Saccharomyces cerevisiae S288C: one gene and its partners. Changing the gene in region 3 together with the main gene of any one other region gives a genetic interaction. Each region holds a gene or a part of one and is shown on either strand. Other genes may lie near its edges. The genes, in order: SUT1, RPL8A, UBX4 and PRE9.

Region 1 (6,297 bases), on a different chromosome or scaffold from region 3:
ATAATCTGGAAGAATAGCCCTGGGCAATCTTACATGGACTAAATTTGTTTTTGAATAATTCGCATTCTTATTCAAAATCATCAAGGATTTCGCAAATACTATTCTATTGATAATATGAATGAATAATAGGGTACAGTTTAGTAGAAGAAATGGGAACTTAACACCTGGCCTAGAGTGTATTGGGGTGAGTAAGATGAAGGCCACGTTCACCAGGTTATGTACGATGTAAAACAAACGATAGTTGTATCTTCTCATTGGCCCAATCGAGCAAATAAGTAAAAAAAGTACCAATATTGATATTATGAATCCCGCAAAATTGAAAGTTTTCAGAATCAATTTTTGCTTTAGAGAGACATTATCGTCTATCGCCCACTTAATGATGAAGAAAATCCCATGAAGCAAACCAATCACGGTGATAATACGTGAAAACCATTTATGGAACGGTATAAAATCAGTGTAGGTGCAATTTTTCCTAAGGAACCAATTAGGCCTTAAAGTGAGGAATAGGTTCAGCGGGATCAAGGCGTAACTCAACCTCCCTAATCTTTTGAGATAGACCGTAGATTGGGTAGTCAAAGAGTAATGGTAATAAAATGGAATCAAGACTGCAAAAAACAATATACCTAAGTGAATTGCAGGATCTATATCATACAACCGATAAATTATCTTATTTTTGAAAGCTGACGACGATCTGGATGGGGTTCTCCTTCCGAAAGCTCTCAAAAGAGCCAATCCAATGAGATAGACCAATGATATTATCAACACATAATACCCATACTTGATATTGGCAAAATGTGTCTCGGAATGTCTTTTAACCAACGTTATGAGAGGGGATTCTTTCATATTTATTGGAAGGCTTACCAAATTAGAAGTTTCTGGCGACGAGATATGGAAAATGTAGTTTTTAAATAACACGTCTACAATATAAGGAAGGAAAAGTCAAAATATTTTAGCGCCTTTAAGTGCGGTTGAGACCCCATAGTAGTATCCCTACAAATAATAGTTAAACTGTATTTTCAATACATAACGTAACAGTATATCGGTATTACGGAGCAGCGATCAATTAAACGCTATTTACCCGGCTGTGTATTATACCTAATTTCTCAAGCAGTGAAAATGTATCAACGTCCTACGCTCAAGGTAAAAGGGGCCAAGGGCAGCGACCACATTGGATCCAAACGCATTGGTTCTGTAGTTCTTTTTTACGCTTCATCCACGATTGTATACTAGCAAATAGGATTGACTCGACAAAAGCAGAAAAATGCCGTCCAATAATAGCAGTTTTTTAGATATTGACGATGATCTCGAGGGTGTAGATGATTTTGGCAACGAGCCCAACCCATTTGATGATGCCACCGTACCTGATAGCCCAAACATGAATAACTCGACTGCTGGAAAGGGTAGCGAATTTTATAACACAACGGGCAGTAAGGCAGAATCCGCACCATTACAGGGTCAAATGGACCCACCAGCGTACGACCAAGTGATAGGACAGAATGACAACGACGGTCTTGGGCGTAATGGATTGAGGCCAGGATTGATAAACTACTATTCTAAATACTTCCAGATCGATTTGACGCAGTTCAAAAAGAGATTGTCCGCGGTACTGACGTTTAGAAACGATCATAATTCCGAAAGTAACGAAGATAACACTGATTTATACGGTGCTGTATGGATCACTGCCACGGTGGTAATGATCAATTTTACCATGAGTAGGGGGTTAAATTTTATTATCAGTGACGTAATTGAGGGCGTCAAGACTGGTGAGGACATCGACAGGGCCAGTCAGTTTAAGAAGCTACTGCATTCTATTTGGCTATTTTACGGGTACACGTTCGGCGTACCATTTATTACCATGCAAGTATTGAATAGAGATGAGCACTCGGAGCGCAATAGAAGCTTCAAAAGTGTTCCTGAATTGATTTCCGTTTACGGGTACGCTAACTTGATCTGGATACCCGTTTGTGTTATATTGAATATATTGGATATGTCCAAGCGCCTGAGGACTGTTCAAGCAATTCAATGGGCAATTGTGGCTCTTGGGTGGGCACAGTCGTCTTATTTCTTGAATTCTCAAATATCGAGTAATAATAATACGGAGACACAATCGAACGGGAAATTTTCGCTGTCCATCATCGTTGTCGTTGCGCTGCATACTTTATTCTGTCTATTGTTCAGGTTTATAATATTTTGAAAATATGCGCACGTCTATACACACAATACTTTTTATGACTAGTATCATTGTATACTCTTATTATGTAGGGTTATACATGAGTGTTTATACGTTTTCTGTGTGTACATATATATCCATATATGTTAATGCTAAATGCAAGTTTTGTGATGCTATTCATTAGAGATGCCTTTGTCTAAAAATCAATGCTTTTATAGTCATCATAGGTTATGTCGTAAATGGTTTTATCCTTAAATTTTAAGGAGATTTTGGATGAAATGTTTATGTCAGCTCTGGTAAAGCCTTTTGAAAAAGTACATTTATCATTTTTTGGGAAATTAGTGGAAGAAGAAGAATGCTTTTTCTTAATGCATGGTAAACAAGGTGTGAGCAAAACCAACTTATCAATATGCTTAATCAACTTGCGTGAGCCTGTACCCTCAATGACATCATCCGGTATGGCAATATTCCGCAACAGCGTGCCTCGATATAGCCGAATATCGTCAGGAGTCAAGACGTACCGCAACTTGTTCGAGATCATTGGCATTATAGTATCGTCTTGAAGCAAAATCTCAATTTTCGCATTACATTTTATTTTTTTCAAACGACATTTGTCACAACTTGGGCCACTTCTTTGTCTCTTGGAAATTGAACTAGTAGATGTGGCAGAGGAGGTTGTCGAGTTGCTCGTTGAGCGCGAAATTATAGACATTTGAGTGCATGACGCATTAGCGTCTTCATTGACCATGGAAGCAAGAGCATGAGGATGATACTCAAACAATGGTGGAGTGTAATTTTGTGGAGGGGGAACAATCGCACTTACGGGGAGCGTTGGCGGCGGCGTCACCGTGGCAATACCAATAGCGCACTCATTACTGTCAGCGGCAGCAGGCTTTAATCTCTTATAGCCTCCTAAAAGCTCGTCAGTCGGAAAAGCCCGCTTCCTCGTCCAAGTGGTCGACAAGAGTTCTGGATCGGTGATGCCCACATTTTGGGTGCCTTTACGCCGTATATCTTTTTCTAGCAGGGAAACATTGGGGAGCAATAGCGGTGGTAGCGATCGATCTCTATTTCTTACTGTAATGCTTGTGGACATCTTCTTTTGACATACGATGACCTCAATGATTTAGATTATGTGTTGCACTTTTATAGACCTACCAAAAATCCAGTGCGTACACTAATACTTTCATAAAGATACCTGAAACAATAACCAGAAAGATCGGCAAAAAAATTTTTTTTCTTTGCCGAGATCACAAACCTACTATGACGAAAAAGCTTGAAGTTTAGATGAGTAAGGAAAATACAAGTGACGCTTTTATATGGTGCAAGGAACAAAAACTAAAAACAACAAGGCAAATGTGGATCTGTCATGTATGGCAACGACAGCAGGATGGCTCACAAAAAAAGACAAAAAAAACTAAGGCAAAAGAACAAAGCTCCTCTCCTGCTCAAGAAACGTATTGTTGAAAAACCACCGTCGTAAGAAAGTTTTTCTGTGACCTATAATGGTTTAAAATCGGCCCATTTTTTTTCCCTCTTTTGTGGTCCAGTCTTTCTCATACTCGAGGGAAATTCGACACAAACAGCGGAGAAGTGTGGCTAAACCGGCAAGTGCCTGCAAGATCCACAGAACTAACCGCACGAACTGGCGGTCAGAAAAGAGCCTGTTCCGGAAAGAGAGAAACAGAGAAACGATCATGATGGGAAAGCGGGGATTCGGCGAAGAACGAGACTGGAAAGGGAAAAAGAGAAATACTGGTGGAAGTATTCGGACCTTTGGCGAAGTCCGAACCCTTGAAACCCAAAGATGATCGATGATTCATTTTTCAATGCGCTACGGTTCCTGCCGCTCGTGGGAACCCCACGCAAAACATATTATTCGCTTCTCTCTGCTGACAACTCCGGTTTACGTTATACCGTATTAGGATCACTATAAGGGTTCCTTCGGGAGGAGGGGGGAGGGGAAGAATGTACATCGTCATAAGGCCTTTATGGTGTGAAGTGGGTTTTGCGTGGAAAATTCGTTTTCAATGATATAGAGCCCACGCATATACGTACATACTAGTGGCCAAAAGCGTGGGGTGGGCGGACAAAGCTACACTGGTAAAATACAGGATTCTATGAACAATAACAACAACCAGCTCACGTTGCTGAACAGCCGAGGTCAGCCGATGCAACCGAGGTTTCCAAAGTAGCATTTCTGTGCTAGCTATGTCTGTAGGTTTACATTTAATGGTGCGTGGTTCCAGCTTCATGTGCTTGCATGTGATGTCCTGCAGATGGTAAGAAGATTCTGAAAGCCGCGCTAGGAGAAAAATATTCTGCTCGAAGATCTGTCCTCTTAAGTAGAAAGCGTGAAATTGTTGCGTTCTTGCATTACTACTCAACGCGTACGCAAATGCGTCTACTGCACCTGCATGATAAAGCTTATGTATCAAAAATTTAACATCTTGAAAATACACAAGTGGTGCAAAGATGTGTCACGTTCTGGACCTGAGTGGTGCCATGTATGCTATTTAACATGCAAAGGGGAAGACCCTTCCGCCTTACTGCAATAATAAAAAGTATTTTACGCGTTACCCAATATAGCAAAGTTTCGCGCAAAAAAAAAAATAAAAAACAATTACAAACAAAAAGAAAAAAAAGGAAATAATAGAAGATCTAACTGAAGCGAAGGCCAAAACTCTTCTCACTTGACGTAATAGCCGATACAAAATCTAGAGCAGCAACTTTTCTCTTTCTTCACTAAAGCTGCTACGAAAGTATAGAAAAATCAAACGCTCAGAACTTAGCTCTATTTCAAGGTACCATATATATTTCCTTATAACTGATGGCAAGACGCAGATTACCAGACAGACCACCAAATGGAATAGGAGCCGGTGAACGGCCGAGACTGGTACCTAGGCCTATTAACGTACAAGACTCGGTGAACCGACTAACGAAACCGTTCAGGGTCCCGTACAAGAACACGCACATCCCGCCCGCTGCTGGTAGAATCGCCACCGGGTCTGATAATATCGTAGGAGGAAGGAGCTTGAGGAAAAGATCAGCGACTGTATGTTATTCCGGCTTGGATATAAATGCGGACGAAGCAGAGTACAACAGCCAAGACATAAGTTTTTCTCAGTTGACTAAACGACGGAAGGATGCTCTTAGTGCTCAAAGGTTGGCCAAGGATCCGACAAGACTGAGTCATATCCAGTACACTTTGAGAAGATCTTTCACTGTGCCAATCAAGGGATATGTACAAAGACACAGTCTGCCATTAACGTTAGGAATGAAAAAAAAAATTACTCCAGAACCTCGACCTCTACATGACCCTACAGACGAATTTGCCATAGTGCTTTATGACCCGTCCGTTGACGGTGAAATGATTGTCCATGACACATCTATGGATAACAAGGAAGAAGAATCAAAGAAAATGATCAAAAGCACACAGGAAAAGGATAATATTAACAAGGAAAAGAATAGCCAGGAAGAAAGACCCACACAAAGAATAGGACGCCATCCAGCTTTGATGACAAATGGTGTGAGAAACAAACCGTTACGTGAGCTACTCGGTGATTCGGAAAACTCTGCGGAAAACAAGAAGAAATTTGCTAGTGTCCCTGTGGTTATTGATCCAAAACTGGCCAAGATTTTAAGACCCCATCAAGTCGAAGGGGTGAGATTCTTATACCGTTGTGTCACAGGGCTTGTCATGAAAGATTACTTAGAAGCTGAGGCGTTCAACACTTCAAGCGAAGATCCCTTAAAGAGCGACGAGAAGGCACTTACTGAATCTCAAAAGACTGAACAAAACAATAGAGGGGCCTACGGCTGCATCATGGCCGATGAAATGGGGCTGGGTAAGACATTGCAGTGTATAGCACTTATGTGGACATTATTAAGACAGGGCCCGCAGGGTAAAAGACTTATCGACAAATGTATCATTGTTTGTCCATCTTCTTTAGTCAACAACTGGGCTAATGAATTGATAAAATGGTTGGGTCCCAATACTCTAACTCCGTTAGCGGTTGATGGGAAAAAATCTTCAATGGGTGGTGGTAATACAACAGTTTCGCAAGCTATTCATGCCTGGGCTCAGGCACAGGGAAGAAATATTGTTAAGCCCGTTTTAATCATAT
Region 2 (6,050 bases), on a different chromosome or scaffold from region 3:
GTTATCCACAATTTCTAAAAATCTTTTCATTAAAATTGTGGGAAGAAGGTTTACAATACTGTTCACCAGAACCCATAACATTCCTATGAGTAAATATGTTTTGAAAGATTCAAACAGTGCTAGCGTCAAATTATTAATGTGCTTGTTTCTCCTGGTAAACCCTTTTAGAATGAAAATGCTATAGTCTTCCATTGATAAGCCCCAAATATCCTTTAACTTAATAGTGTTCTTTTGGGCCTCCCATATAAAATTGGTAATCCAGCTCCAAGTAATGCAACTTAAAATTGAGGATATGTGTTCCCTCGAAGGAGACGTATGGTCGTCTCTAACGTAGATGATGGATGAGTTGTCTTTAATCGGTGAAGTGAGCTTTATTGGCTGTAAGGTTGAAGTAATTACGAATTCAAAGATGTAAAATATCTGTGAGGGTACATCATCGATATTACCAATATAGACCGAACGAATTGGAATCCAGGTTGAAATCCAAATAGTTGTATGGGCAGTAAAACAGATGGCCCAAAGATTCGTTGAACGCTTGTAAACTCTTAAGATACTTAGGGAAAGTAGTATTAACCAAAATAATAGTAAAGTTGTAACATCTCTGTTCGTTAATTCAATATTGATTTTTGTTACTCTTAAAAAGGAAAGGCCAATTATTTGTAAAGACATTAATACAATTTCAGATGATTTTCTTAAGTGGTCACTAGTAGACGGTCTACTAAACGTTAGTCCACCATGATTTTTAGCATCGATTTGCTTGACATCTATAGTTGTTATATCAAAATGTCTAAGTTTCAAAATCCTTCCTTGCTTTTTGACGTTGACGTAATTGGCTTGGGTATTTGAGTTCCGTAGAAGTCTTTCTATACTATTATCTTCTTTTCTCTCTTCTTGTGCGCCAAATAGATATTCGTTCACTAAATCGCACTCGGCAGATCTTACATAACGAGATAATCCACTGCGACAAAGTGCGAAAATGCCAATTGAGGCTATGATAGCCAATGGTAAATAGTAGCTCAATAGCTGAGTTCTTCCTAAACGAGTAAAATCATCAACTTCCCAAAATGAACCATTATTTCGGATAATAAGGGGATCCGTTCCCATTCTCCGAGGTAGTGAACCATTGAGGTTGCAGCATGAATAAGATATAGGTGAGAGCTAGCGATTTGACATTTAGTACATAGATATTTATATATATATATAAGGGAGTTTTTTTTTATTTTTTTTTTCAAAATACGAAAATAGCAGTTCACGAGGCACTCACTTACTGGTTTTTAAAAGTGCACCCCTTTCGAAACGTTATGATGCAATCCTTCGTAGTGCTAAAGCAAATCATGTCGAAGAAGTTAAAGTAGTGTCATTGCAAAAAACTATACGGGGAAGTGTTTGAAAATAAAACAGGGGCGTCTCATTTTTACATATCATATATAGGTATACACGCATATATAAATACACATATTTCTTTTGCAGGGAAGGTGAACAAAAATACAAAACTCTAGCAAAAACTCAAGTTAGAAATAGGGATGTGGGTAAGAAGTAATTATTCTTGCTTTTCTTCAGAACCAGTTTCTTGCTCAATTTCTTCTTCATCATTTTCTGGTCTAATAACAGCAACATCTACAGTTAACTCCCTGTCACCGAAAACCTTGCCTTTAAATTCTTCAGCTTTAGCTTCAATATCAACGTTTTCACCACTGAAAGTGACAAATGCCATACCTCTATTAGCAGAATCGGATGTGAAGATCCTACCAGTGTGTTGGTCTCTCATTTTTCTCATTGGCAAAGAGATGGAGTCGGCGTCAGTACCGAAAAATTCAGCGACCTCCTCTTTGGTAGCTTTGAATGGGACGTTATTAATATATAAGGTATCCTTTGATCTTTCCATTTGGTCTAATGGAATCTTTTCCCTTTTTTGTCCATTGAAACCACCTCTGGCGCCGCCTCTACCTCTGAAGTTCCCTCTGCCTCTGAAACCTCCTCTGTAGCCGCCTCTGAAACCTCCTCTAAAACCTCCTCTGCCTCTGAAACCGCCTCTGCCTCTGAAACCTCCTCTTTGCATTTGGCCTGGAGTTCTAGCTCTCTTAATATGAATTTCTCTGTCCTTAACGACTTTCGTGTCATAATTCTCCTTGATATTATCAAAATCAATCTTGGTTGGGAACTTGACTAGAGCGTGTTTACTAGCTGGAATGTGACCGTCGGTGTGTTCCTTAATTGGGATCTCTACGCTGACTTCATCCCCGAATTCCTCCACAAACAATTGCTTCAAGTCGTCTTCGGTACATTCGTGAGCAACATTACCAATAAAGATTGTGTCCTCGGGGTCAATTACTGTCTTATGAGTAGGAGCCCTTGGTTGCTGTTCGGAGTCGTTGATGCTCAAGTTGTTTACGGCATTAGTAGCTTCTTCAATTTCAGCAGACATATTTTTCTTCGTTTGAGGGTTTTCTTCTTTCTTTTGGGGGAAACTTCTTCTCTCGATGTAGTGATAACTCAGTAACTTCCTTTAAATTTGCAGAATGATTATTTTGAGTCCAATTGCGTATCCTTTATGCCACAACCTGTGACACTCAGGGTGGCTAAATTAGAAAAATTTTATTCTGCTTTTCGACTAGTTTTGCCCCTTCCCTTTGGCGACGCGTCACCTGGGACGGGAATTTAAAGATAATAAAGAGGCAATTCATACAAATTTTAAAATATTTAGCGGCAGTAGTGACCCAAAAAATAGTGTACTATCATATTTTCACTACCATAATTGGCTGCAAAATAGTTACTAGTACAGGTCAAAACGAGCAGGGCCTTTTTAGGAGAAATTGTATATACTTTTCAATATTTTCCGCTCGATGATAAAATTGGTAAATTGTAGATCTAATAACTTAATTGCAGAGAAATTTATGTATTTGAGATCCCTAGATAGTGCCTACATTGCCTTAGCCTTAATTTTAAATATAAAGTTCCCCATACAAAATGCAAGTGTACAGCGCGGCCACCTGCAGAAGTAGCATGGTGACTCTTAGTGTGCGGCCTCGAAGTCTTTCATAACTGTAACGGACGTCTACTGACGACATTTCAAATGACATTACATTTATTCTTGACTCGACCAATGATCGTGGAGTTTCAAACATCGTTAAACACGCCATATCAGACTAACTGGACGCTGGCTTCAAGATTGCCAGCTGCACGGGTAGCGCAAGTGAGAATATGAATTTGAACTTCTTCCCAGCATCAATCCGATATGGCAATACTTATTTACAACGGTGACTACTTCTGTAACTTTGTCTCGAAACCACGGCTTTCACTCACTTCAATGGCACAATCATATCGCTTTTGGATGTTAATGACCTTCTGACCTAATAATCTTGGATGCGATCAACATAGCTTAGGTAATCCAAAACTACTAAGGCATGCAAAATTATTGTGATATTCAAAATAAGTCGATATGATTTTCCTATAATGAGGTACTTCCCATGGTCCAAGTATCAAAGCTTCAACAAAGCAATCACCTTAAAAGGTTATTTAAGGTCATTATTATATTAAAACGTTTGAAAATTAATATTATTATTAAAAAATAAATTTTTTATGCAAAATTTCTCATTTTCAATTTAAGCGGAGTCGGAGTTCTTAGCTCTCTTGTCCATCTTGGCTTGAGCCTTGTTACCAAGGATACCACCACCCCAGTGCTTCTTGACTTCATCGTATTTGTCAGCGAAGTTAGCGTCAATGGTAGAAACCAACTTAGCCAAAGCAGCTTCGTCTTCGGCTCTGACTTCAGTCAAAGCGGCAACGGCAGAGGTCTTTTGGTTAACCAAGGTACCCAATCTAGCCTTACCCTTGACAATGGCGTATGGAACACCCATCTTCTTACACAAAGCTGGCAAAAAGACAACCAATTCAATTGGGTCGACATCGTTAGCAATCAAAACCAACTTAGCCTTCTTGTTTTCGATCAAGGCAACAACGTGGTTCAAACCGTACTTGACAGCGTATGGCTTTGGAGAAGCATCTTGCTTGGACTTACCTTCAGCAACAGCGGCAGCTTCTTTGGTCAATCTTTCCTTCTTTTCAGCAGCAGTTTCTGGTCTGTACTTGTTGAACAACTTGAAGGTTTCGGCAGCGGTGTTTCTGTCCAAAGTGTATTGGAATTGAGCAATGGTTGGAGGAACCTTCAATCTGATGGACAAGATCTTCTTTTGTCTTTGCACTCTGACGTATTCTGGCCATTTGACGTATCTGGACAAGTTTCTCTTTGGTTGGACAGCTTGACCAATACCGAAGTTCTTTGGAGTAGAGTGAGTCAATGGGTTTCTAGTCTTGTTAGACTTAGTTGACTTAGCACCGAATGGAGCTGGAGCGACTTTCTTACCTGGGGCCATTTCGAATTAGTTGTTTTGATGTGATAATAGAGGGTAAGCAATGTAAACTGACAACTGGAATAGTAATTGATAGATACAAATTCCTCGCCTTTATAAACAATTTAGCGTCTTTTTTTTTTTGCGTTGGTTTTTCCAATTTGTTTGCGTCGGTTATTATTTTTCAATAAAAATAAATAAGAAAATGAGAAAAAAATGAAAAATGAAAAAAAAAAAATCTGATGGCCTAGATATGTTTGGGTGTTTTCTTCATAATACTAGTGTTACAGTCATTTGAATAGTACATGATGCAATAGAAGGTGGAGAGGAATATAAAATTATGGAAATTACATTGTTAATAGAAATTATTTATGTTGTTATTGGAAGTTTTCTAGAACCTGTTCGTGTTCACCTTCTATGTCCTTCAGCCAACCTTTGGATCTTTCCACGGCAACTTCCCAATACTTCCAATGCTTTCTCCTTTCAGCATCGTCGGATTCACTTCTGAATATCTTAAGGTTTGGATGAGCCTCTGGTGATATTTGTTCGTTTTTCTCCATTCCATTGTAAAAGACCCATTTCTTAACATCGTGTAGGTCCTTCCATAATGGGCGCTCGTTCACATCCTTGAAAGCCATATTGGCTGCAATGGCTGCCCCCAATGCGGTACATTCCGCTGTCGGAGACCTTCTGACTTTGACACAGGGACCTAAGATATCGGCTTGAATTTGCATGACTTCATTAGACCTCGACATCCCGCCATCCACTGCCAGAACCGACAGGGGCGACTTTTCATATGTGACGTCGGAAATTTCCTCTAAAAAGTCCCTGTCTTTGGAACCTTCACCAAACGCGTCAGAACTCATTGCCTTCAAGATAGCCCTGGCTTGAAAGCAAACACCTTCCACGGCAGCTCTGGCGATGTGGGAGGCAGTAGTGAATTGAGACATCCCCATTATGGTGGCTCTGGCATCTGGGTCCCAATAGGGAGCGAATAGGCCACTAAATGCGGGGACGAAAACTACGCCACCAGAATCAGGAACCGTAGATGCAATCGGTCCGACATCCTCTGATTTATCGATCAATCGTAAATTATCACGTAGCCATTGGACCACAGCACCAGCCACAGCGACGGAACCCTCTAATGCAAAATGTGGCTTGCTCAATTCTGGTTTTTGGCCACCGTACTCTTGCAAATGTGGGAACCAAAATGCTAGAGTCGTCAGTGCGCCATGTTGGGAGATCAATTTTTTGGTCCCCGTATTGTACAGTAAAAAGCAACCGGTACCATAAGTACATTTTGCAGCACCGGGTTTGTAAGCGAGTTGCCCCACCATGGATGCGCTTTGGTCGCCCAGACAGCCCTGTATGGGCAGGTTTCTCTTGACTAGATCTCGCAGTACTGTTTTTGGCGAATCGTGTAGCTTTTCCATTATCCAATCAGGAATGCCAAAGTCACCGTAGTATTGAGATGAGGACACAATTTCGGGCATGTGAATCAGGTTCTTGTCAATACCCCAAAATTCCAGCAACTCGTTGTCGTACTTTAAAGTGGAGAGGTTCATAAATCCAGTTCTGGAAGCGTTGGTTACGTCAGAAACGAACGCCTTTTGTTTAGTTAATTGGTAAATCAGCCATGTGTCCACAGTGCCGAACATCAGGTCGTTCTCCTCATACGCCTTGGTACACAGAGGCTCATTG
Region 3 (6,742 bases):
GCAAGGGTTCAATTCCATCCTTCATGATTCATTGTTACCATCCATGACGGATGAGATAGTACCTGAGATGACGAACTTCAAAAATACCTTACTACAAGAATGGACAGCTATAACATCTACACTAAATGGAGATTTTGCTTTATGGAATGAGGAGATTTTTTCAACTTTTAATGATATTTCAGAGAAACTGAATGGCACAAAAAAAAAATTAGACGACATTGAAATCAGAGTCTCACTTGTCCATAAAAATGTCATGACAATGATGAGGGTATTGGATTTTATGTGGAAAACTAGTAAAATGATTATAAGATGTGGGTACCTTGCAGTCAAGAATAAATACTACTGGTTACTGTGCTCCGTTGTGTGGATTTGGTCAAAATACCGTACGTCTCGAGTAAACGTCAAAATGATTCCTATTAAACGCTATTACCAATGGGCAGCTCTTCTACTTTCAATTTATCTAGGAGCTAAGACTGGCTCATTGATTGATTTTTAACATTACCGATGTAACAATATATGAAAGCCTATATATACATAGATGTATAGGTATATAGCCGCATTCAAAGTCTAGCAAAATAAATATTCTTTAAAAATTCAAGGACACCGGATCATGGTGGCCATAATACGGGCAAGTGAACCTAGAGAAGGTGTCCTACGTCACTATCCAAGTTAATTTGCTTAAGAGAGTTCGAGTGCAGCACCTACAGCTTTATCATTGAAGACGAAGCAAAAAGATCTTGAGATTCTATATCATGGGCACAGGTAGTATTCATTAGGTAGTAGTAACGTATTAAACAAGGCCATACTATATTTATAACTCATGTTCAAATACAACCGCTCACTCTGTAGCAGCGCTTTGATAGCAAAGTCTCAGATTCGTTTTTATAGATTGAAGCGGGCGCCATTGAATTATGCCTCCCATATACCTGAAGTTCTTAATAAGACCATCATAGGGCCAGACGAACCAGAAAAATGTCTCATTTTGAAAGGAAAAACATCAGAGGAAATCGAAAATAATCTTCTCAGTAATAAGAAATTTCAGGAGATCAATCCTCTTGATACTATCCAGGAAACGTTCATTCAATATCTGAAATTTTGTAATGAAACTAACTTTAAAAGAAGTAACAAGAATTTAAACAGATTAAAAAAAACCTTAGAAAGCAAGGACTCTAATAGCACCGTAAAAATTAATGCAGTTTTCAATTATTTGCTCGAAGAGTGTGATTTAGAAATCAAAAGATTGAACACGACCGGCCAAACCCAGGTATACAATGAAGAGAAAGGAAATGAAGATGACTTAGAGCAATCCATAATGAACGATATTTTCCGATCAGCACAAGAACAATTTGAAGATCAAGAGGGCCATATACCGTTAAGGAGTACATCATTTTTACTGGAGATTTTGAAAAGTTTTAATGAACGGTTTAATGGCATAATCAAACCGAAAGAGTCAATAACAGAAATGGTCACATTCAGCCAACTTGCTCAAGCTTTTGAAGTTGTTAAATTGATACCAGTGCAAGAAATGAAGGAGAAAGGGATTTACTTGGTCGGAAATTTACTTTATGGCACAGGGAAAGTTCGTTTAGATCCTATAAATGAGTCATTCTATATTGAATCCCTACTAGTTTTTGGAAACTATAAGGCTGCATACAGTTTATTTATTACCAATAAAGACAAAGTAAACGAGCGCTGGTGGAATGAACTAGGATTAATGATCACATTAAGGTCTAACCACTTGAGAAACTTCAGGAAACTTTTAGCCGAGACAGATGCAAAGTACTCAACAAAGTATTCTTATTTGAGCCCAAGAGTTACCAAATTGAGCATACGAAAATATTTGTCGATTGGCAATGTTACTGAAGCTAATATACTGACTGATCGATTTATTAAGTTAGTGGAAGAAGTTGGAATAATCAGAATGAAAGATGAGCAGGAGGAACTTCCCACGGGAGTTAAAAATTTTCAGAATGAGAAACATGCAACTGAGTTCTTAAATGAACTAGAAATACCATCGGATCATGATTATATCAGCATTGTTGATTTCCATCTTTATAAGAGAAATATTCCCATGGCGGCTCAACTTATCAGCAAGTACATGGAAATACCTGGAACGACACAAGAAGATGCCGCATTTCTACTTGTTAAAACCAAGCTAAATATGTTGAAAGATTTTGAAAAGCTACGAAACATTTTTGCTCAAAATAAAGATTATGTAGTGCCTGAGAATAATGTGAAAATGTTGCAAGAGGCATTTGAGAGCGTTATTACTAAGTATAACACTAATTCTCCAATATACAATGAATTGCTGTTTGAGAATGTTTCGGCCTTAACAAAAAGTATTGTATTAACTGATTTTCTGGAAGAGTTCATTACTAAACAGGCTTCTGGACAGTGGATGGAATTAAACAGTGTGTCACGTTCCAGAAAGTTTAATGGCTTGTTGAACATACTTCTCGGTACAGGTGAAGAAGAAAAAGCATATAATATCTTAAAAAAACTAGAAGAAGCCTCAAAGAAATCAAAAACAGATCCAGATTTACTCTATAATCAGTTTTATTCGGAAGTTAATGCATATCATTACGCTAAATTTGTTGAATTTTATAGTCTTCAAATTCAAAATATGAAGGCACAAAATACGCCCTCATTTAGAAAAAAGGAATTTAAGCAGAAAGTGAAGTCACTTTTAAAAAGAATGCAGGAGTCAGAGGTTATCCCAAATGCTGTTTTTTTGAGAGAAATACTCAATTTTTATGATAGCATGTATGACTTTAATTCAAGTTTTGAGATCATCAATCCGCTACTTGAATCCAAACAACAGGTGAGCTCTGAGTCTTCATTATCCACCTCAAACCCTTGCCGATTTTACAACCGTCGCATCATAACAAAACCGCTGTACCACAAGATTTGGTCTGTGTATTGCCATTATTATCATGTTTTACAAAATAATTCTAGGATTTTATCGAAAAAGTCGTCCATTGTAAAGAAATTAATAAAAAGGCAGATAAAGATTCACCCAACTTGTCACCCAAGAGTATTGTTCCAAATGACGGCAGAAAATGGTGAAATTTTGCCAGACAAAACTTTTTCTAAATTAATTGTGTCCACGTTCATGAAAAGCGGGGATTTAGAAGCAATACCTGCCATATTAACGTTTCTAACGAAAAAATTTGACTTGAATATTGATTACGATTTGAGTATGTATATTCTAAAGGGTTTGAAAAGACAATATTTACGAGATATTAGTAACATCAGTAAAGATGCTTGTGAGTACAAGTTACGGAAGGCGGAGCTAATGAATAATGAGTCAATCTTAAAAAACATTCCACAGGGTACAAATCAAGAGAATACAATATCCCATTTGATCAGGGAGATTTTGATCTTTATAAAATGGAAGGAAAAAAGTGATTGTTCTACTTTCTTGATGGTAGAAGATGCTTTTAAAGAATTAGGAACAGAGTTTACTTTACTCGAAGAATTAATAGAAGATGTAAATAAGTTAAAGATAAAAGCCTAAAAAAACGGATGCATTTTATATAATTTTAGCTATACGTGTACATATTTGTAATAAAGTTAAAAGAGGAGACTGTTTAGCTTTGTATTTATTTTTTACTTAATTTCATCCATTTAGGTACTCTATTTAAAGTCTTTTTGATACTTGTAGCGTTATCAGAAGGGCCCTGTGGATTGGATTTATTTATCGTATTAACTGATGGGGTTGTCCTCGTTTCGTGTGTGATTTTTTGTGCGTCTTCCAAAAGATGAGCCTTTATTAATGGGCCATTAGAATTTGAATTTGTTTCAAAAAGCAGCATTGTTTTAGAGCCAAATTCCAGGTCATCCAGTAGCTTCTTATCGTCTTTAGCCAAGGGTTTGAAAGGATGAGATTGGTTTAACGTAAAAGGCATGTTCTCATCGATCAGGAACTGCGACACGACGTTATAAACTGTACGCATGTCTTCATTGGGTTTGAATGCTATTTGAATATGGCTTCTATCGGGGAACTTGACTCTCAGCAAACACTCAGATATAGCCTTATTTTTCTTTGGCAAGTTGTTGGCTGATTGCTCTCTAAGTCTCTTTGTCAAAATAGGACCACCCAAAGTACCAGCCTTCGATGATAACATTTTTTGGTATTTCTTGGCTTGTTCTACTGTCAATTCATAATCTTCTTCATCCTCGATTTGATCCTTGATAACTGCTAATGGCTCATCCGAGGGCAAAAACACAGAAGGTTTATGTAGTTCGTGAGGTGGTAGTGAAGCAACCGTTTCCGGGTTCGTCATCGTAGGGGGAGTTTGTTTTGGGTGAATAGCGCTATTAGCGCTAATGCCCTCAGAATGAGATGTATTATTAAAAATCAATCTAACTGACGAAGGCTCCTGAATCCCTAAATTTTCGAGAGTCAAATTCTCATCCTTAATTGTTTTGAACTCTATTATCTTGGAAAAGACCTGGATCTTAAAATCATCTCCCGCAGCGCCGCTCATCTGTCGCAAGATAGGGGCAATTGGTTGGTCAGATGGCATTTCTTTAACCACGGAATCTCTTCCTGGGATTTGAAACCGTATTTTGATCGTATTGAATGGAATATCTTCGCGGTTGGTCTTATTCGCCACCGGAAAATTACTACTTTTAGATAATTCTAAGTTGACACCCGTTGGTAAGTTTAGAAGCCTCCATGGCAAATCTAATGGCACCGGTTTATCCAAATGTATCAATGACCAGTCGTTTGACGAGGTGTGCAGTTGAAAGAATTGTATGGATTGGTGTAACACATCGTTTAGTGTTGAATTCAACGAAACTTTACATTTGAAAAGTTGGAAGTTATACTTCACGGTAACCATAGGCATTGTATTGTGCGCTTATTAGTCTGCCTTGCTATTCTTCGCAGTACGTAGATTTATCTTAGTTTTTGCATTTTTTGGTTTTCTTTTTTTTTTGCCACACATAGTACAATAAAAGAGAACTTGAATCTTTGAAGAAACGTCTAAATTAACATCGAAGATAGAAGACAGGGAAACATCTAGGATTGCAAGAAATAGTGCTGAAATTTTGTAATAAAGTTGCAAGAAATAGCATCTAGCGTTTTATAAGGCGTACATCTTTCTTGGCAAGAGTTCCAAGAGAAAAGAGGAGCAAAACAGCGGTTGAGGCGCCCGCTATCTTGAATATTATACAGTTTCTTTAAAAACGCTTGTACAACACTGCATAAACATGGACAAATTATTGAAATTGTTTCAAGATATTTCCCATATCATATTCCAATAGCGTTACTCTCTCATCGCTTATTCTGGAATCATTATTTTAATAAAGATAACTCACACGATATACGTGTACTGAGCTGACCTTTATACCTACCCTTACCTGCTTATTCCTGATAAAAATGTTCGTGCAACTAATTGTTTGATTTCTCTTGCGGCCCGGTTATTCCGGAGTTGATACTTTTTTTCTTCTGTCTTAATTACGTTTTTTTCCTCTAGACTTTTTTGATCTGGTACAATTGAAAATGTATAAATCAACTGGACCCTAAAAATAAAAAAAAAAAACGCCCATTAGAAAAGAGGATATATTGAACAAAAGATGTTGAAAGAGCCCTCAGTTCGCTTGCGGGAGGCTATTATTGAAGGCAATTTACTTATAGTGAAAAGATTATTGCGACGGAATCCGGATTTGCTAACCAACATAGACTCAGAGAACGGATGGAGTTCATTACATTACGCCTCATACCATGGAAGATACCTTATATGCGTGTATTTAATTCAGCTGGGGCACGACAAGCATGAACTAATAAAAACCTTTAAAGGAAACACCTGTGTGCATTTAGCATTAATGAAAGGGCACGAGCAAACCTTACATTTACTTTTGCAACAATTTCCGCGATTTATCAACCATCGCGGAGAGAATGGTAGAGCCCCCATCCATATAGCATGTATGAACGATTACTACCAATGTCTGAGTCTGTTGATAGGAGTTGGTGCTGATTTATGGGTAATGGACACTAATGGCGACACGCCGCTGCATGTATGCCTGGAGTATGGCAGTATAAGTTGTATGAAGATGCTTCTCAATGAAGGTGAGGTGTCCTTGGATGATAATGTCAGGGACAAGGGAAATTGGAAGCCAATAGATGTAGCACAAACGTTTGAAGTAGGTAATATATATTCAAAAGTGTTAAAAGAGGTGAAAAAGAAGGGGCCACCGTTGGGTGCAGGCAAAAAACCAAGTTCATTCAGAACTCCTATACTAAATGCGAAGGCCACTTTCGAGGACGGGCCTTCCCCAGTTTTAAGCATGAATTCGCCATATTCGCTCTATTCCAATAATAGTCCGTTGCCGGTATTACCAAGAAGGATATCAACGCATACAACAAGCGGTAACGGTGGGAATCGGAGGAGTTCTATCACAAATCCAGTATTCAACCCACGAAAACCAACCTTGTCTACGGACAGTTTTTCGTCAAGCTCAAATTCCAGCTCGAGACTAAGAGTGAACTCCATCAACGTCAAGACTCCAGTAGGTGTGTCGCCCAAGAAAGAGCTTGTATCTGAATCAGTACGACACAGTGCAACACCAACAAGTCCGCACAACAACATCGCGTTGATTAATAGATACTTGTTGCCTAACAAGAGCAATGACAACGTGAGAGGAGACTCACAGACAGCTACAATCAACGATGACGGTGGCGGCGGCAATGGCGGTGATGCCACTATAGGAATGGGACTAAGAAAGGACCCGGACG
Region 4 (6,031 bases), on a different chromosome or scaffold from region 3:
GTATTTTATCACCTGTTTTCAATGACAAATCTCCATCTTGTTGAGCTTCAAAATCATATAAAGCTTCAACGTACTCTTCTGTATCTGCATTTTGGGGCGATCTTTGGTTTCCATCCCATTTCTCAGGTAACTTGCTATTGATTAATTCGAAAATGTCGCCTGATATGACGTTTGATTCCTTCAAAAATTCTAATTCATTCCTTATATTTTTCAATGATCGATTCACTAGTGACGCAGACATCGCTTTTGTTTATTTTTGAAGTGCTGCCAAAATTAGATTGGAGTTAGAATCCAACAACAAGTAGGCCAAACGAGCAGGCCCTTTTTTATATTTGCCTCTCGAGCGATTCCGATCTTGAAATTTGCGCAAAAAAAAGTTTCTTCAGCCTTCCCCCGAAAGGGGAATCTTAGCGATTTTTTTCTTTCACTTTTAATTTTAGAGATATGTTTCTATGCGTACATATTTATATAAGCATGAAGTCAAACAATACTTTCCAACCTTATTTCATATCTTCATCAGCTTCTTCGTCTTCATCCTTCTTGGTAATACCAGTCTTTACCAATATATCCTTTATCTCTTGAGGCTTGAAAATCTTCTGATACACTTCTCCGTCATTAGCACCCTTTCTGATAGTAGCAAATTCCAACCTGTCATAAGTCAGCGCGCTACTGTCGGTAGTTTTGGATAACGTTTTTAAAGCCAGTTCAATGGCATCATCGACTTTCATATCATCCTTGTAGTCCATTTGAAGTAGGGTTTGTGCTGCTGATGTGTTAGCGCCAACACTAATAGCCTTCCACCCTGTATAGTTTCCCGATGGATTAGATGTATACAATTGGTAACCGTATCTATCGTCATAACCGGCGTAGATAAAGGACACACCAAATGGTCTTAAACCACCATGTTGCGTGTAACCTTGTTTTATATCACTTAGCCTTCTCACCAAAATTTCTACTGGTATATCTTCATTATAGGTTTTAAGGTAATTTTGAGCGTGAATTCTAGCCGTATTTATTAGAATTTCTGCATCTGCAGTCAGTCCAGCAACGGCAACCGCAATTTTATCGTTTAACTTATAAAGTTTTTCGGTAGAGGTGTCTTGTTCTAGTAAAGTACTTGTGACTTTGCGTTCTGCTGCAAGAACAATCCCATCAGATGCCATAATCCCAATTGCGGTACCTGCATGTGAAATGGATTCTAGCGCGTATTCAACCTGATATAGACGTCCCTCAGGGGAGAAAATTGTTGTCCTGGAATCGTATCTTCTGGAACCCATGTTTAACACTACTAACTATATCCAATAATCAATTATTAAAATAGAGACTGATCGAAAACTTTTTATAGAAAGCAGTCTGTTCTCTTCGCTCTGCCAATGTTTCCTTATTACATAGATATCCATCTTTTTATGCTTTTATTCTATAAATTTTTTGCCACCTGCAGGGTAACGAATATTTAACTGCCTCAAGATGTTATTACATGGCTAATTGTCATTAAATGAGGATGCAGAGAAAACATGAGCAATTCACTGCTCACTCACTGTCTCCAACATCGAGCTCTGCGAGTGTTATATATTCATGAAGTGGGATAGGCTTATCGGCTTTGGGCAATGGCAAAATCTTACCATCGTAGAACACCACCCTTCTTCCTGGAGGGTTCACCTGGGTGTCGAAGGAGTAATCAGCGATAAAACTACGCAACGTGTTAATAGGGGAACTATCGTCTTTGTTTGCAGGCTTTGAGGGAAACAGGTTTAACAATTTCAGATTCAGTTCAGAAGCTGGCTTAGCGTTTAGCTTCTTCTCTATGTCAGAGTTCTTCCTGCCCTCATGCTGCATAGTATCGGCACTATCCTCTTCTTCCATGGCGAGCCTTGTCTTGATCTTAAAGAATAAATCTTTGGCTTCAGGAAGGATGCCAATCCATGTCATCAGTAAAGTTTGAAGCTCAAAAGTGCATTCTGATTTGGTAAAAAAAAACTTGTCGTTCGCGATGAGTGTCTGCACCATGTAACAGATCAACCTAACCAAACCAAGGGAGTACAAGGAGATTTTCTCGCCGTCTTCATTCTCTTCTTCGTTATTTTTTGATGACAAAAAAATAGCAGCATTCATAAAAAACTCCTGCAGTAACATTTTAGTCTCAATATCAGATAATACGATAGGTCCTTGCCTTGAAAAGGGAAGTCCTGAAGCATCTTCATTCTTCTGCTTTTTCTTCAAGATCTCATATATCATATCATCCTTTTTATCTTGATCACTGGCTTCTCCGGAAAACGGTTTTCCACGTAACCCCATTATTAGTTCAAAAACGTAATATATCAACGAATGTTTTAACTCCAAATGCGTAAGGAACCATATCAATATTCTCCTATAACCGGTGCACATTAACATTTCATCCATTAATCTCCACGCAACGTCGTGATTCACGTTTAGCATCCTTTCAAATGCTGATTCTTCAGACCATATTTCATAAATATCATCCGGCGTGGTTCTTCTGAGATCTTCATTATCTATCTTGGACATTTTGGTATTTCCTTCACCTTCTACATCGCCGTTTATACTTGCGGAAAAATTAGACTCCAGGTCTGCTAAAATCATTTGGTCCTGCTCGTTCCTTACACACGATGCAACTGAACGCACTAACAATATGGATTCCTCCTTATTCAACTTTTCTGTTGCGCCACGTAGAGTCAAACTAAATATGACATCTAACTTAGGCTCATGGATGAATGAATAAGATGGCGAATAGTACATATTGAAATCTCTGGGAACGTCCCTCCAATCTTCCCCACTATAGTCAAATTCAAAAGTACTTCTTGATCTAACGGAAAGTGGGTTAGGTGACGTAACGACGTGATCAGAAGTGGCTGTAGTCGCGTTATGTACCGCATTCCTATTATTATGCATTGCGCCTTCAACGTTTTCGCTATTTGTTGACCCAAAGGCTTCATTTGCACCATCCTCTGCCACCAACTTATCATCATTGAAGATGCAATTGCACCGTCTCCGAAAGAAAACATTATTACTACCAGATGCTATTTTTTCTGTTGGGTTAACAACGCTTTCATCCAATCCTCCATGATCGCTTTCAGAGAAAGATTCATCATAATCTTCACATTCATAATCAAACATATATCTAATATCCTCATCAAATCTATCACCTGACTGTAAATCGGCAAATAAATCTGTTACATCTTCGATGCTTGCTCCAAGCGCAAGTAGAGATGCAGTATGTGACCTTAAATCGGCATATAAAGCACCATGACACAATTTTCTTCCATAGGGCGACATGAATGTGTTTAAAGACTCGTGCTTGAAATCATGATCATTATTTTTCACTAATCCATTGAGAACGGTAGCTATTACAGACCTCAATGCTGCGGCTCCACGAATTGTGGCGCGAACCATAAGCGGCGTTTCGTAAGTGCCATTCTCCTCTTCAATTCTATCAATTTCTAAGGCTAAAAGTATAACACAGGAGAGGTTTTTCCATAAGGATATTAATGAAAATAAAAATGGGTTTAGTTGTATAGGTATTTTTTCATACAACTTGTAGATGGTATATACCGCCAGTATATCAATCATATAGAGTAATTCCAAGTCTTGTGTATTCAGGCCATGCGGTAGCCATCTGTGAAGTTGCGTCTTCCAATGAACTGCATTATCTGTATTGTTTACCGAGTTTAATATATCAAAATCAAAGCAGTTGAGCCTCAACATGGTAGCATCAATAATTTTTTGCATGTTAAAACACATATAAAATTTCCAGTCATAATGGTCGTTGTGTTCTTGAGAAGTCTTGATCGACTGAGACATTAATCCCAAAAAAAGCTGAAAAAGAAAGTCTATCGATATAATATGCTTATCATTGGGAGTAGGCTGCATTAATGGATCTACTAAGCCACATAGCGTAGAAAATTGTAGTTCCAATAATGGCGTCAATACCGTAGTGAGATTTAATATTTTAAAAAGAAGCTCGTGTCTTAGTAAAGAATGCTCCATAACGTTGGGTATTTCAAGCGTTCCATCTTGGTTCAGTTCGAATGAATATATTTGTTCCTGGTCATTTATTGTTCGGCCCATTATCGCCTCTCTCGGTTGTTTTTGATGATCAAAACGGCTATCGTCAAGGCCACTTCCAGCATTGCCTTCATCATTTTCCATTAACAGGCTAATGTTATCACTAAAAGTAAGATTTACTCTGTTCTCAGCATTAAAGGAATACCAGAAATAAAAATTTCGGCATTCTATCATTCTATTGTAATCTTTTAAAATTTTTCTAACGACAAGTGCTGGCTTATCAAATGTGGAGCTGCAGCTTATCAAACTCTCTATACGGCCAGTTATCGAATACAAATAGTCCTTTAACAAATTATACGTTTCATTGAGTAATATGGACGGAATAGTAATTTTTGAAACAATTAAAAAGCTCAACGGGAGTTTGTATTCTGGAAGATTGTACCGATTAATTTGAAGAGGGGCCGTTTTATTTGCTAATAAAAACCTTAAGAATTTCAGGAGTAATATATCATTATCTTTCCAACTCAGTACTATGGAAGCATAGCTAGAACTGTTATTTTCAAAGGACTGGGCCCAGGATTTTCTTTCCTTCAAAGAAGAAGTCTGAATTAATCGTAAAGCTGACTTCCCTGAAATTGTTGTGAACAACGTAATTATGAGAGCCTCAAGCAATAGGTTAGAGCATATTTTCTGATCATTAAACATGGTTTCATTATATAAGATCTTCTCCAAATTTTCCACCGATGGAACATAATTTTTATCTTTCAGTAACTCTTGTAAGGGAATAAAGTCCTTAAAATGAACCGAATCACCTGAAGAATCTTCACTGGCTAAATTTTGCCTTTCAGCATAATTAGTAGCTGCTTTCTTTTTCGTCATCACTTTCTTACGTAAGTATGTGGAGTTAAGAGAGAAAAAGTGTTTGAAAAAAGCTCCTCAACGATCTACTGGGCTGCCAAAATAAAATTCAGCGTCAATGGAAAAGCTAACTAATGTAGATATTGCGTGCACTACTTGTCAAAAATTCGTGCTCCTTATTAATATATGTATATGTATATACAAATGTGTCAATACATCAATAGTGCAATTTGTTAAAGTATTTGTATTCATAAATTGGCGCTGCCCGGGTAAGGTAGAAATTGCATCAGATAAAAGTGAGGGCCCATTGTTTGCCATTCGAACACATCCATCCTACGTGGTATCAATGGTTGTTGATCCGCTCTCTTTCTGCTAGGAAGTACTTTACAATCCCCTGATAGGCACTCATATCGCCACAGCGGATGATATTACCAATGTCTACGTCAAGTGGAGAATCACAAACGGGTTCCCTTAGGAGTCTCCAAACAGCATGAACACAGTGTAACAAATCCCATACAGGAGTCCACTCCTCTGGTTTAAGGATGTTCAGACATATTTCTCCTGTGGCTGATTTAACATTGCAGTGCAAAATATTGTTCTGCATAAAACTTATCTTTGGTGGATTCATGGGGTAGGAACTAGGGACTTCTATTAGTATTCGAAACTGATGATTTTCATAAGGTGTGTCTGACGGCCCAGAAATTATAGCTTCCCACTTGCTCAAGTCGGTTTCGTCAATCGGGTTAAGTGACTCGATTATCCCCCGGTAGGGGTTCGCTATGGGGTCATCACTGGCCAATGTTTTCAGTATGACTTTGTACTCCTTCACGATCCTCGACATACATGTATCAGACGTATAGCTCCTACGATTCTCAAGAATCCAGAAGTTTGGCATATTATGTATAAAGGCGATGATTATGTATATTTTATGTTGTCTCCAGTAAGTGGCAGCATAACCCGGCCAGTCTGCGCTGCATGCTGTGAAGCAGTAATATGCGATATATACCACATATATTCCGCTTCCGTTCAGGATTTCGAAAAGAGAAACTTCAGTGAATGACTATGACTACATAGTTGGAGTCTTAGACCATTGCAAATGAGTTATTCAAGTATGAGAGATCAACACTGATGAGAATAAACTCGTCTTCATGAT

The links.
Region 1: mutations in UBX4 (region 3) and SUT1 together harm fitness more than expected from each alone (negative genetic interaction), as found in Saccharomyces cerevisiae (2 studies listed by BioGRID).
Region 2: mutations in UBX4 (region 3) and RPL8A together harm fitness less than expected from each alone (positive genetic interaction), as found in Saccharomyces cerevisiae (2 studies listed by BioGRID).
Region 4: mutations in UBX4 (region 3) and PRE9 together harm fitness more than expected from each alone (negative genetic interaction), as found in Saccharomyces cerevisiae (4 studies listed by BioGRID).

Annotation. Positions count from the first base shown.
Region 1 is NC_001139.9:195,107-201,403, reverse strand, and holds SUT1 (Sut1p), read right to left. Parts: upstream 3,267-6,297; coding exon 2,367-3,266; downstream 1-2,366. Other genes in the region: AIM14 (putative metalloreductase), read right to left, coding at 1-843; YIP5 (Yip5p), read left to right, coding at 1,262-2,194; DNA-dependent ATPase RAD54, read left to right, coding at 5,001-6,297.
Region 2 is NC_001140.6:31,653-37,702, forward strand, and holds RPL8A (60S ribosomal protein eL8 RPL8A), read right to left. Parts: upstream 4,374-6,050; coding exon 3,603-4,373; downstream 1-3,602. Other genes in the region: putative ATP-binding cassette multidrug transporter VMR1, read right to left, coding at 1-1,104; SBP1 (Sbp1p), read right to left, coding at 1,541-2,425; GUT1 (glycerol kinase), read right to left, coding at 4,727-6,050. UniProt on the Saccharomyces cerevisiae protein: Component of the ribosome, a large ribonucleoprotein complex responsible for the synthesis of proteins in the cell.
Region 3 is NC_001145.3:400,721-407,462, forward strand, and holds UBX4 (Ubx4p), read right to left. Parts: upstream 4,854-6,742; coding exon 3,603-4,853; downstream 1-3,602. Other genes in the region: KAR5 (Kar5p), read left to right, coding at 1-496; SOV1 (Sov1p), read left to right, coding at 821-3,517; AVO2 (Avo2p), read left to right, coding at 5,584-6,742. UniProt on the Saccharomyces cerevisiae protein: Involved in CDC48-dependent protein degradation through the ubiquitin/proteasome pathway.
Region 4 is NC_001139.9:756,638-762,668, reverse strand, and holds PRE9 (proteasome core particle subunit alpha 3), read right to left. Parts: upstream 1,278-6,031; coding exon 501-1,277; downstream 1-500. Other genes in the region: LSB1 (Lsb1p), read right to left, coding at 1-241; CCR4-NOT core subunit CAF130, read right to left, coding at 1,531-4,899; PEX4 (E2 ubiquitin-protein ligase peroxin 4), read right to left, coding at 5,222-5,773. UniProt on the Saccharomyces cerevisiae protein: The proteasome degrades poly-ubiquitinated proteins in the cytoplasm and in the nucleus. It is essential for the regulated turnover of proteins and for the removal of misfolded proteins.